Linked DNA regions of Sus scrofa. The protein of the gene in region 3 purifies or fractionates together with the protein of the main gene of each other region. This does not show direct contact. Links are inferred from orthologs where the notes say so. Each region holds a gene or a part of one and is shown on either strand. Other genes may lie near its edges. The genes, in order: SQLE, PLIN2 and MARCH6.

Region 1 (3,605 bases), on a different chromosome or scaffold from region 3:
AGATACACACGGAGCTGGAAACACCAAAAAAAAAAAAAGAGGAAAAGTGAGGCAAACCCAGAGACAGAAAAACCACCCACTTCTCTTCCAAATGTTAACTGATTAACACCTGACACTCGTGTATTTAACACCCAACCTCTGGTCACCACCATATTCTGTAACAGGTGGGATAAACCAATTCACATACAGCAGGAGTGTATGTACAGCAGAAAAAGGGTAAGATGTAGAGAGAACCACTTTCTGAATTTCAGTCTCTCTGTCTAGAAAGGAAACAGTTGGATTAGCTCATCTCTGAGATACTTCCTAGTTTTAAAGTCTTGTGCTTCTACCTGTATAGAAAATGGACTTCTGGGAGTTCCCGTTGTGACTCAGTGGTTAACGAATCCGACTAGGAACCATGAGGTTGTGGGTTCGATCCCTGGATCCCTGGCCTAGCTCAGTGGGTTAAGGATCCAGCGTTGCCGTGAGCTGTGGTGTAGGTTGCAGATGCGGCTCAGATCCCAGGTTGCTTGTGGCTCTGGTGTAGGCCGGCGGCTACAGCTCTGATTCGACCCCTAGCCTGGGAACTTCCATATGCCTCGGGTGCTGCCCTAGAAAAGGCAAAAAGACAACAACAACAAAAAAAAAAGCAAGAAAGAAAATGGACTTCCTTTTCATTGAATTTGTATTGTAATCTGAACACAGGAGCAGAACTGCCTGTGTTGAAACCATTCCCTTCTCACAATGAGAATTTCTATAACCTGACTAATATGCACATAAACCTACAAATAGTTTCTCTCCCTGACTACAGGGTGGTCTGCTCCAACTAAGCTCTGGTTTGGAAAAAAACAGTCTACTATAAAAGAAAAAAAAAGCTAAAAAATCACATTATTAACTATCCCTTTTCTAAAATGTGTAACTCAATCGTTCCAACTTGCTTCAGAAAATGGCTTAACTGAGTGAAAATATATTGAAATGCTGAAAATGTCATTATTAAAAGTTGAAAATGGTCCATGTATTCTTTCATTTCTGATAATACTGTCAATAATTAAACACAGTGCTTTCCCTTAGTTTAAAGAATAATTTTAGGTGTTCCCGTTGCAGCTCAGTGTTAACGAACGCAACTAGCATCCATGAGGACACAGGTTTGATCCCTGGCCTCACTCAGGGGTTTAAGGATCCCACGTTGCCGCAGATGCAGCTCGGATCTGGAATTGCTATGGCTGTGGTGTAGGCCGGCAGTTGCACCTCCAATTTGACCCCTAGCCCGGGAACTTCCATATGCCACAGGTATGACCCTAAAAAGACAAAAAATAATAATTTTTTAAAAAGAATATTAAGGAGTCCCCTTATGGTGCAACAGGTTAAGGATCTAGTGTTGGGGCTTGGGTCACTGCTGTTACTTGGGTTCAATCCCAGGCCCAGGAACTTCCACATGCTGCAGGCATAGTCAAAAAAAGTATTTAAATAAAATGGACTCATACCAAGAATAATCTATTACTATAATAATACAATTGGCAAACAGGGTTTCACTTCAATTTTATCAACATTCTTATTTTTTTTACATTTCTTTCTTACATCCTCCCATTCTCAAAAAAAAAAAATCCTAATTTTTATGAGTATTTTACAAAGATGTCTAAAATCTCACAAAGCCTTAAGAGTTCCTATGGTGGCTCAGCAGGTTACGAACCCAACTAGTATGAGCTATGGTGTAGGTCACAGATGCAGATCAGATCCTGTGTTGCTGTGGCTGCAGTACAGGCCAGCAACTGCAGCTCCGATTCAACCTCTAGCCCAGGAACTTCCATATGCCTCAGGTATGGCTCTGAAAAAAAAAAAAAAAAAAAAAAAAAAAAACCAACCCTCACAAAGCCTTTCTGTATTCAACTCCAAACTAAACCGATCTTGAGGACCCCCCCCATGGCCATCACGTTCTGCCAGCAGGGATACAGGAGACAGAAAGACCTGCTTTCAACCTTGCCACGGCTACTTACAGTTTATCTTTGGAGAAGCTGAGTAACCTCTCTGAATCTTAGTTCCCTCATTTGTAAAACTAGGATAATGATAATGCCTACCTCATAGGGTGGTTGTGTAGATGAAATTAAATTATGTTTGTAAAGAACCTCTTATACAGTAGGCCTTCAATAAAAGGTAGCTATCTATCATTTCTACAAAATCCAAACACGGAAAGTAATGAAGTTTAAGAGATATTTCAAGAAATCAGAGACCTTAGATCACTATCAAGACTACCTTAAAAAATACTATATGCCAATATTAATAATTATTTGGAAAACTATGCTTTAATTATTACTATGAAAAAATACATTGAAACTATTTTTTTTAACTTGGAGATTTTTTCATGTGCTAGTTTAAATAGTTCATTCAGCTCCAGTGTATCTGACTGGATGCATTTTTCACCTGCCATCCTTATCTTCGGCCTAATTGTGACAAAGCTTTAGTGGGAACTGGAGATGACCCAACTTACTTGTAGGCGACAGACTACAATGGGAGTGAAATCCTATTTCTTACCAGGTAGTTGTGGGTAAATGTTTTCAATCATGTATTCTCTTAAATTCCTTGGCATTTCTCCTCGGATGTCAACAAGTACTCGAGTTTCACTAGGTGAAATCTGGTAGATGAGAACTGGACTCGGATTAGCTAAAACAAGTTCAGCATGATTTGCTTTAAACTGTGGTGCATTCTAGAAAAACAAATAAAAAAAAATTTTAATAATTTCCAAATTTCAGATTGCTTTTAATTTTCTACAATTGCACTCCTACAGTACCTCCATAAGAAAGCCAACAAAATGAGAGGAAACAGAAACTTTATTGGAGATCAGGTTTTTCCTGAATTTGGAAAAAAGTCCATCTGCGACAATAGTCAATGGAGCATGGAGTTCCTACAACAAAAATAAAGGATAGTCAACTAAATGGTTAAAAATACACAGTGAAAAGACCATTTTTTAAAATGTACGTAAAGTTAAATATATAATTGGACATTACAGAGAGATGTGAAGATAATGCTATTGAAGGAGCTGTTATGTGAGCTCAAGTTAATGCAAGACCATTAGGGGATCACCCTCCCTCAAGACTCTACCATCCAAACCATCTGGGATTCGACCATTTTTTAAAAGGTACGTAAACAAAGTTAAATACATAATCATCGGACATTACAGAGAGGATTTGAAGATAATGCTATTGAAGGATCATCCCCCCTCAAGACCCTACCATCCAAGCCATCTGGGATTAAGCCACTTTGACGGACACAGCTCACAGAAGACTGAATCTCATTACAAACTCCAAAGACCAACCACATTCTTTTATTTGAGAATTTTCTAACCTCAAACAGTGCGTTCAGTCAGTGGCTAGGGCTTAGAACATGTGGAGGAATTACTGATATTACCTTGCAATCGCCTCCATCAGAGTACAATTTCTAGGAGGTGGTAACCCTGTGGGGCAGCAGCCAGGGAGAATCAGCAGATAAGCCCTTGATTTTTCTCTTCTCCTACTAAACCAACAAGAGCCAACGCTGGAAACTATTTTATTCTGCTACTTCTCCAGAGATTCTCTTGCTTTTGCCTTTCTTATTTAAACAGTAATTTATTTTCTCCTAATTATTTCTTTTAT
Region 2 (4,353 bases), on a different chromosome or scaffold from region 3:
GAGTGACTGCAAATGAGCATATGGTTTCTTTCTTTTTAAAAAAAATTGTAGTAAAATATACATTTAAAAACTTCACCATTTTAACTATTTTTTTTTTCTCTTTGGCTGTGCCCCACAGCATAGAGAAGTTCCCTGGGCCAGGGAAACCATGCCACAGCAGTGACCTGAGCCTCAGCAGTAGCAAAGCTGGATCCTTAACACACTGCACCAACCAGAAAACTCCCCTATTAACTATTTTTAAGTGTACAATTCACTAGCATTAAATTCATTCACAATATTGGGGAACAATTACCACCATCATTTCTAGGACTTTTTCATCAAACCAAACAGAAATTCATGAGGTTTCTCTCTAGGGTTATGAAAATGTTCTCAAATTGATCATAGTAATGTCCACATAACTCTGCATGTATTAATAACCACTGAATTATATACTTTAAGTGGGTGAATTATATGTTGTTATTTATTTATTTTAAACAGTTCATGTATACTGTGTAGTCCCAAGAAAGTTAGCTCTTTCTCTGGGTTCCCTTGTTATCTCAGTTCCCAATGTAGAAGCATCTCTGGGGGATTTTTTTTTTTTTTTTTTTAGTATCATAGCATCTGCCATTGCTATGAAGCGGCAATGAGGGTTCCATAACATTGTGGAAGCTTCCATAACACTGAGGGTTCATCTGGCAGTTTTTCCAGTAAAGGACACATGTACTTCAGAAAAGGCTGAGGATTCCCTAGCATAGCTATTGTGTGCTTAGGGCCCAACACAGACATTTATAATATTCAGGCCAGCTTCAGGCTCACTCCTGAATACCTGGGACTAAATTGTGAGGGGAAATGGGAACTTACTCTGAGGCTCTAGCTTCTGGATGATAGGGAGAGCACCGGACATGGCCACGGAGGTGATGGTCTTGACGCCCTTCTCTGCCATCTCACACAGAGACTTCAAGTAGGGATACTGATCCTTTGTACTGATATAAGCCGAGGAGACAAGGTCATACGTGGAGCTCACCAAGGGTAGGTTGGCCACCCTTGTCACCACACTCTGCAACCAAGGGGGAGAGAGGTGTTAACTTCCAAAACACACGGGGGAGGTAACGGAATCAAGAAACAGCTATTTAAAAATCCTACCGGTTGTGATTCAACAGCAACGGATGCCATGTTTCTTCCTGGAGTAAGAAATCTGTGGAAGAGAAATTTATTTCAGGACATTGTAATAAGACTCTCCCCGAAGTTCCCGTCGTGGCGCAGTGGTTAACGAATCCGACTAGGAACCATGAGGTTGCGGGTTCGGTCCCTGCCCTTGCTCAGTGGGTTAACGATCCGGCGTTGCCGTGAGCTGTGGTGTAGGTTGCAGACGCGGCTCGGATCCCGCGTTGCTGTGGCTCTAGCGTAGGCCGGTGGCTACAGCTCTGATTCAACCCCTAGCCTGGGAACCTCCATATGCCCGCGGGAGCGGCCCAAGAAATAGCAACAACAACAACAACAAAAAAGACAAAAAAAAAAAAAAGACTCTCCCAAATTCCACCCCCAACCAAAGCAAAAGCTAGTTTCAAGCAAAGGAAGGAGAACAGAGATGAAGTTAAGGGTAGCTGGCACTTCTTCCCACCCTCTGACTCTCAGAACTCTCCCCTGGGTAAATACATTCCCAGATGCTTCGGAGCTCACGTGTATAATTCACCCACTTAAAGTGTACAATTCAATATTTTCCCCACCAGGACATTTGAGATGCCTTTGGAAGAGAACTATCTGTGGGCAAAAATGCTAACCAAGTAAAAATCCATGTTAAGGAGTTCCCATCGTGGCTCAGTGGTTAACGAATCCGACTAGGAACGATGAGGTTGCGGGTTCAATCCCTAGCCTCGCTCAGTGGGTTAGGATCCGGCCTTGCCATGAGCTGTGGTGTAGGTTGCAGACACTGCTCGGATCCGGAGTTGCTGTAGCTCGGGCGCAGGCTGGCGGCTGTAGCTCCAATTAGACCCCTAGCCTGGGAACCTCCCTGTGCCGCGGGTGCGGCCCTAGAAAAAGACCCCAAAAAAAAAAAAAAAAATCCATGTTAAAACTAAAGCTGCCTTTCAAGTAGAAGACGTCTTGGATAGTCAAGACGATCAAGAAGAAGCACTTTGAGGGGAATTTATTCTTTGTCAAAGGGCTGAAACTAGTTCAAAGGACATTAAGCACAGGAGAAACGGAGTGCTCCGAAGAACAGAAAAAATTTTCAGGACGCTTTTAAATGTCAACTTATTGTCCCCAACGACCCACAGCCACACCAAACAGCCCTACAGCTGAGCAGCAGAACTGGGAAGGAAGGAACCCGAACACCCTCTGTCCATCACTTCCAGGCCAGTAAGTTCACACTGCCGCCAAGAGTGTGTTTTACATGAAACAAGAACCACGCTGAAGGCCAGTATCAATAGGCCGGCATGTCACTGCGTACCCCCAGAAAATTCTGGCTTAAGACGATTTTCTCCCGCGTTTCCTTTTAATAATGTCCTTTCGGAACAAATGGAAACTGTTAACCCGCAACCAAGCCAAGAAGCTACAACCGCACTATAGCAGCGGCCAGAAAAGAAGCCTCAACCATCAAAAGCGAGGGTGGAAAGCGCAAGCCCAGGAGACCGCCCCTTCCCAGCCGGGGCCGGAAACCGCCGTGAGGCCGCGAGAGACCAGCCTGAAGCCCGCCGGCGCCGAGCAGCCAGGAGAAACCACAGAAAGAGGCGCACACCCACCGACCAGCAGCAAATTAGAGTCGAGAGCCCGGGAAATCAGCGCGGCAGTCAACAGAGCTGGGCCCTACAGCGCCTGGCTTTATAACCCGCCCCGCACCACGTGACCCGAGGCCTCTTGAAATCCGAGACCTTAGAGGCAGCTGCGCGCCTTTGGCGGGGGCGGGGTCTGTCCTGCGTTGGCGGGGGCCCTGCCTAAGTCAGGAGAGCTGAGGGGCCCAGCGCCCGGCAAAAATGCGCCAGCGCCTACGCAGGCGTAGTTGCTTTGCAAAAGGCGGTGGAGGAGTGTTGGGGACAGCCTGTAACTAAACTGTTGATTTCTATCAGTCCTCGGAGTAGAACTGTCTTTAAAAATGGTAACGGTGGCGTCTAGACTGTTACTTATAGCAAGGAAATAAGTCCTACAGTTTTGTGAAATTCCAACCCAGGAAGGATCTGTAGAGATTGCGGTTTTGCTGCTCTTTAGACTTTAAAATCAGTTCCTGGAGTTCCCGTCGTGGTGCAGTGGTTAACGAATCCGACTAGGAACCATGAGGTTGCGGGTTCGGTCCCTGCCCCTTGCTCAGTGGGTTAACGATCCGGCGTTGCCGTGAGCTGTGGTGTAGGTCGCAGACACGGCTCGGATCCCGCGTTGCTGTGGCTCTGGCGTAGGCCGGTGGCTACAGCTCCGATTCAACCCCTAGCCTGGGAACCTCCATATGCCGCGGGAGCGGCCCAAGAAATAGCAACAACAACAACAACAAAAAAAAAGACAAAAAATAAATAAATAAATAAATAAAATCAGTTCCTCAAACATCTGCCTAATTTAAAGTTGAATCGGAATTTCCAAAAGTTGTGAGACTACCCTCAGTCTCTTTTGTTTCCTCATCAAGACTAAAATCACCCTGGGGTGATTGCTGCCTATGTTTACTATGCAGGATGACCTCTTTTTTAAAAAGTTGTGGGTTATGCGTTTTCTTTTTAAATAAACAAATCATCAGGAGTTTGCGGGTTCGATCTGGCTTTGCTCAGTGGGTTAAGGATCCCGCGTTGCGGTGAGCTGTGGTGTAGGTCGCAGACGCTGCTCAGACCGTGTTGCTGTGGCTCTGGCTTAGGCCCGGCGGCTACAGCTCCAATTCGACCCCTAGCCTGGGAACCTCCATATGCCGCAGAAGTGGCCCTAGAAATGGCAAAAGGCCAAAAAAAAAAAAAGTTCCCTAGTGGGAGTTCCTGCTGTGGGCCCAACAGGCTCTGCAGCGACTTGCCAGCGCTGAGACATTGGTTGGATTCCTAGCCTGATACAGTGTGTTAAGGACGGGGTGGGAAGGATGTTGCCGCAGCTGCGGCTTGGATCTGATCCCTGGCCAGGGAACTCCATACGTGTCCAAAAAAAAAAAAAAAAAAAAAAAAAAAAATTTCTCTGGTGGCTCAGGAAGTTACGGGTCCCCTGTAGTCCTCCTGCTGTGGCTTGGTCACAGCTGCGGTGTGGGTTTCATACCTGGCCAGGGATCTTTCACATGCCACTGGCATGGCCAAAAATAAGAAACAAAGTCATCATCCTATGAGCCCCAGTTTTTTCTTGTGTAAAAGGCAAGGACTTGAACAAACTTGTATGAGCAAACAAGTTACGCAACCACCCCAAGCAGAAGAGGGTTTG
Region 3 (4,260 bases):
GGGAGTTCCCATGGTGACTCAGTGGAAACAAATCTGACTAGTATCCATGAGGACACAGGTTTGATCCCTGGCCTCCCTATGTGGGTTAAGGATCCGGTGTTGCCATGGGCTGTGGTGTAGGTCGCATCCTGCATTGTTGCGGCTGTGGTGTAGGCCGGCAGCTACAACTCTGATTTGACCCTTAGCCTGGGAACCTCCACATGCTGTGGATGCGGCCCTAAAAAGACAAAACAAAACAAAAAAATTACATATATGATTCTTCTTACAAAGGAAGCAACAAAAACATAATTATCTCAACATCGGATACTGGGTATCCACTTACAAATATCTAATTTAACCACGGAGTCTGACAGAACTGAGTCTGAATCTCACCTTTGACATGTTACCTGCATGACTTTGGGCAAGTTACTTAATCATACTAACCCTTACTTTCTTCCATCTGTAAAAAAGGGAATGCTGTGTACCTAAAAGTGTTACGAGAATTAAATGAGATGTCTATGAAGTATTTAGTGAAGTACATGCCCTATATTAAGTCCTCAGTAAATTTTAGTTATTTCAAGAACAGCATTCAAGACAGTAAATATCATTTATACCTCACCCTTATTATAACTTTACAAGGAAAAAAACAGTGCACTAGAAGCACATAGAAAATATTTCTTTCAGGAGTTCCCTGTGGCTCAGCGGGTTAAGGACCCTGTGTTGTCACTGCAGCAGCTTAGGTTGCTACTGTTGCACCACTTTGACCCCTGGCCTGTGAACTTCCATATGCTGTGGTCAAAGACAAAAAAAATATATTTCTTTCATCATGATTCCACATAAACTTTCAGATTCTACAATTCCTGAATTACCACTATCACACCACACATTTAGTATGCAAACACTAAGTGCACAGGCTTAAAGAATGGGAGGAAAACATGCCAGTACATTATCAAGTGGTAAATAAACACAAGCCTTACTAAATTGAGTCATTAAAATCTGAATCCAGAAGTATGTGAAATCTATGGAGACGGAAATTTACACACAAGAATCATCTATCAAAAGAAGATAATTCCTAATAACCTCCTCAGCAGTGTCACTTGACTGTTTTTTTCCAAAGGAGTCGCCGGTGGTTATTACTTCACTCACTGTATATAATAAAAAAACTAAGACATAATGAAAACTATTTGTAATGAGAAGGCCTAGGTTCATATCTGTCTCTTAACTAGCATGTGAAGCTTAGACAAGTTATTTAAATAACTAAGCTTGGGAGTTCCCAGGAAGCTCAGCGGTTAAGGATCTGGCTTGTCACTGTTGAAGAAAGAAAGAAGCCAGCCAGCCTGAACTTCCGCATCTATAATACCCCCCGCGCTACTCCACGGGGCTCTTACTAAGATCAAATGTGAAGGCATGTAAATATGCTTTGTAAACTCAAGTATAACATGCGGCTACAGTTTGAAGTTCTTACTAAGACTTCTTTAAAAAATAATAAATTGTCTCCACTCATTACACATACAGTATCAAACTTCCTGTCACTCATTATTGCACGCCACAACAGTCCTCAAAGATCCTCATTTAAAATCACCAAAATCCATACGGTTGAAAGGTGCTTATCAGACAGCTACATAATATACCCGAAGCAGAAAGGTATCTTATCTTCACTGACATCCTACACATCAAGCATCAGGAGAGTAATTTCCTCTATGGACTCAGTAAAATTATTCGATAGACTCTAAAAAGATAAAACTGCTTAAAAAACAACCTAATTACCGTCAGCGGATAAGCAAATGCATTTCAATAGTCACAACTGTTCAGTTATGTATCCACGTATGTATTCAGTTTACAAGAGTCAGCTTGATCCAAAACAGCCACATCCAAAACACACACACACTCAACCAAGCAACACACGCACAAAACTCGGCTTATTGGTGTCAGGGATTAAGCACAAAATAAATCACACTGAAACAAAGGAATTCTACAGAGCACCCCTTCTGCGAATAACCCCGTTGGGCCTGCCTCGTCCCCGTTTAGTAAACAAATAATTCGGGACTCGCAAGCAGAGGATAAGGTTTTTAAATAGGGGTCAGTTGATTCCACTCAGCCGTCACCTGGCGGGGTATTTTTCGCTAAGTTTGAGTCAACAAAGAAGTTCTGCCGTGAAAGGGTCGGGCCCGCAGAGCTACGGGCAAAACGATATAAAGAAAGACAAAACCGAGTGGGGGAAGGGTGTGGAAAACGCCCCCAGACTCTGAGCGGCGACGACAGCGTCGTCCCCCGGGGCTGGCGGGACGGAGGGGTGGGGAGTCTCACCGGCCGCGGCCACCGCAGCCCCGACGCCCCCCGGCCCGGGCAGGGGCCCTGCCCTCCACGCGCGCGGGCGGGAAACGGCGGGGGGCGCCGAGGGGTCACCTTCTGTCCCCGCCGCCCCTCGCGCCGGGCTGCTCGGCGGGCAAACGGCCCGGGCGCCGGTCCCCCGCTGTCACCGCGCGCCTCCGCCCCGAGCCGAGGTGCCCCCAGCGCCGCCCGGGCCCCGCGGCCCGCCTGGAGCGCCGCAGACTGGGCGCGGGCCCAGCCCGAACCCGGGCGCGGGAGAAAGGGCGCGGGCGCCGCCGACTTACCTTCCTCGGCGGTGTCCATCTTGTCTGAGGGGGCGGCGGTGACGCAGCCGCGAAGCTCCTGTGGCCGAGGCCGGAGCCTTCCGGCCGGGGCGGGGAAAAAGGGAGGGGGAGGAGGGAGGAGGGAGCGGAGCCGGGCCCGGGCAGGTGTTTGTGCTCAGGTGCGAGAGAGGAAGCTAGAGGAAGGAGAGAGGGGAAGAGGGAGAGGGAGAGAGGCTGACAGAAAGCGGGCGACAGAGGGGAGGGGGAGGGTCGGGGAGAGCAGAGGGGCGAGGCCTGGGCGGGGCATGGAGGCGGAAGGGGCGGAGCGCCCCCAACGACAGGTGCCGTCATTTCCGGCCGCGGCGGAGGCGCGCACGCTCAGTGCGCGGTACCCGTGGGGGGCCATCCCGGCCCGGCCCGAGCAGCTGGTGGCCGCCGTCGTGGGCATTGGGCCTCCTGGACCTTGTCCTGAGGGTTGCGCGGGGCAGCGAGGCTGAAACCTTAGTAGGAGTTGAACTCTAATAACACTGAGGGAAGCAACAAAGAAGACACAACACGATGGAAGTGAGCAGCGTGAGCCAGCGCCTGACAGCGAGGCGGCTAGCCCAGCGCAGGCCGGGCGGCGGTGCAGGACAAAGACGGGTCCCAGGGCTGAAGAACTGTTACCTGGGACTTGTGAAATACGAGTTCTGCGCTATCGCGCCCGGAGATTCCGGTGCCGCGTGTCTGGAGCTGGCCCAGGAATATGCATTTTTGTTCTGCACGCGGGCAGTTCTGATGCATGTTTTGAGGAAGTACTAGAATGCCAATAAAATTAAAAAGTCAGAGTTCCCGACGTCACTCAGTGGTTAATGAACCCAACTAGTAACCATGACGTTGGGGATTCGATCCCTGGCCTGGCTGAGTGGGTTAAGATCTGGCTTTGCCTTGAGCTGTGGTGTAGGTTGCAGTCGAGGCTCTGATTTCCTTTGGCTGTGGCGTAGGCCGGCAGCTAGAGTTTCCATTGGACCCCTAGTCTGGGAATCTCCGTATGCCACGGCTGCAGCCCTAAAAAGACAAAAGACAAAAAGGAAGTAAAATGAAAAAGTCAGGCCCTATCATTACCATAGTTCTGCATTTGACTGGAAGAACTACAATAAACTGCTTAGGTTGGAGGTTGAAACAAACACCCTTCTCTAGGGGAAATCTGTTCAGATAGGGACAGAACTTGGTATACTGGGTTATGGACACTTAACCTGGCCAGGGCTAAATTGCTTCAGCCTTATGAAAGACTGAGCACGTTCTTTCAGTACACCACTTTTCCTCACCAAAGAATTATTTAGAAATTATTTAGAATTATTTAGAATTATTTAGAAATTATTTAGAACTATTTAGAAATTACTGATGAGAAAGGCCACCACCTTAGAATTACCTAAGTAGAACTAAAGATGTCTCTAATCCCAAGAAAATATATTTTAAACAATATGCAGATAAATTGCAGAAATAGATGCAAGAATGCTAGCCATCTCTTTTCTATCCGTGTGAGGAAAGGAATTGGGAAAATCTCCCACCTCTGAACTTCCTCAATCAGAATGAAACTGAGAATGAAAATAATGAAGTAGAATCCTTCAGAAAGAGAGCAGCCCTTGAAGACTAATGTCACTGATTTGACCAATGTCACTCATGGTACCCAAGACAGGAAGGAATT

Evidence for each region.
Region 1: the proteins of MARCH6 (region 3) and SQLE purify together in Homo sapiens (affinity purification with western blotting; 4 studies listed by BioGRID and IntAct, with this or other methods). This does not show direct contact. The link is inferred for Sus scrofa from reciprocal best matches to the Homo sapiens genes MARCHF6 and SQLE.
Region 2: the proteins of MARCH6 (region 3) and PLIN2 purify together in Homo sapiens (affinity purification with western blotting; 3 studies listed by BioGRID). This does not show direct contact. The link is inferred for Sus scrofa from reciprocal best matches to the Homo sapiens genes MARCHF6 and PLIN2.

What each region holds. Positions count from the first base shown.
Region 1 is NC_010446.5:14,679,139-14,682,743, forward strand, and holds part of SQLE (squalene monooxygenase), read right to left. Parts: intron 2,879-3,605; coding exon 2,765-2,878; intron 2,681-2,764; coding exon 2,509-2,680; intron 1-2,508. UniProt on the Homo sapiens protein: Catalyzes the stereospecific oxidation of squalene to (S)-2,3-epoxysqualene, and is considered to be a rate-limiting enzyme in steroid biosynthesis.
Region 2 is NC_010443.5:203,682,467-203,686,819, reverse strand, and holds the start of PLIN2 (perilipin-2), read right to left. Parts: upstream 2,815-4,353; 5' UTR 2,725-2,814; exon of another isoform or gene 2,721-2,724; intron 1,175-2,720; 5' UTR 1,153-1,174; coding exon 1,123-1,152; intron 1,037-1,122; coding exon 841-1,036; intron 1-840. UniProt on the Homo sapiens protein: Structural component of lipid droplets, which is required for the formation and maintenance of lipid storage droplets.
Region 3 is NC_010458.4:72,125,020-72,129,279, forward strand, and holds the start of MARCH6 (E3 ubiquitin-protein ligase MARCH6), read right to left. Parts: upstream 2,851-4,260; 5' UTR 2,614-2,850; coding exon 2,595-2,613; intron 1-2,594. UniProt on the Homo sapiens protein: Endoplasmic reticulum membrane-associated E3 ubiquitin ligase that plays a critical role in mitigating endoplasmic reticulum stress, the regulation of cholesterol and lipid homeostasis, and ferroptosis.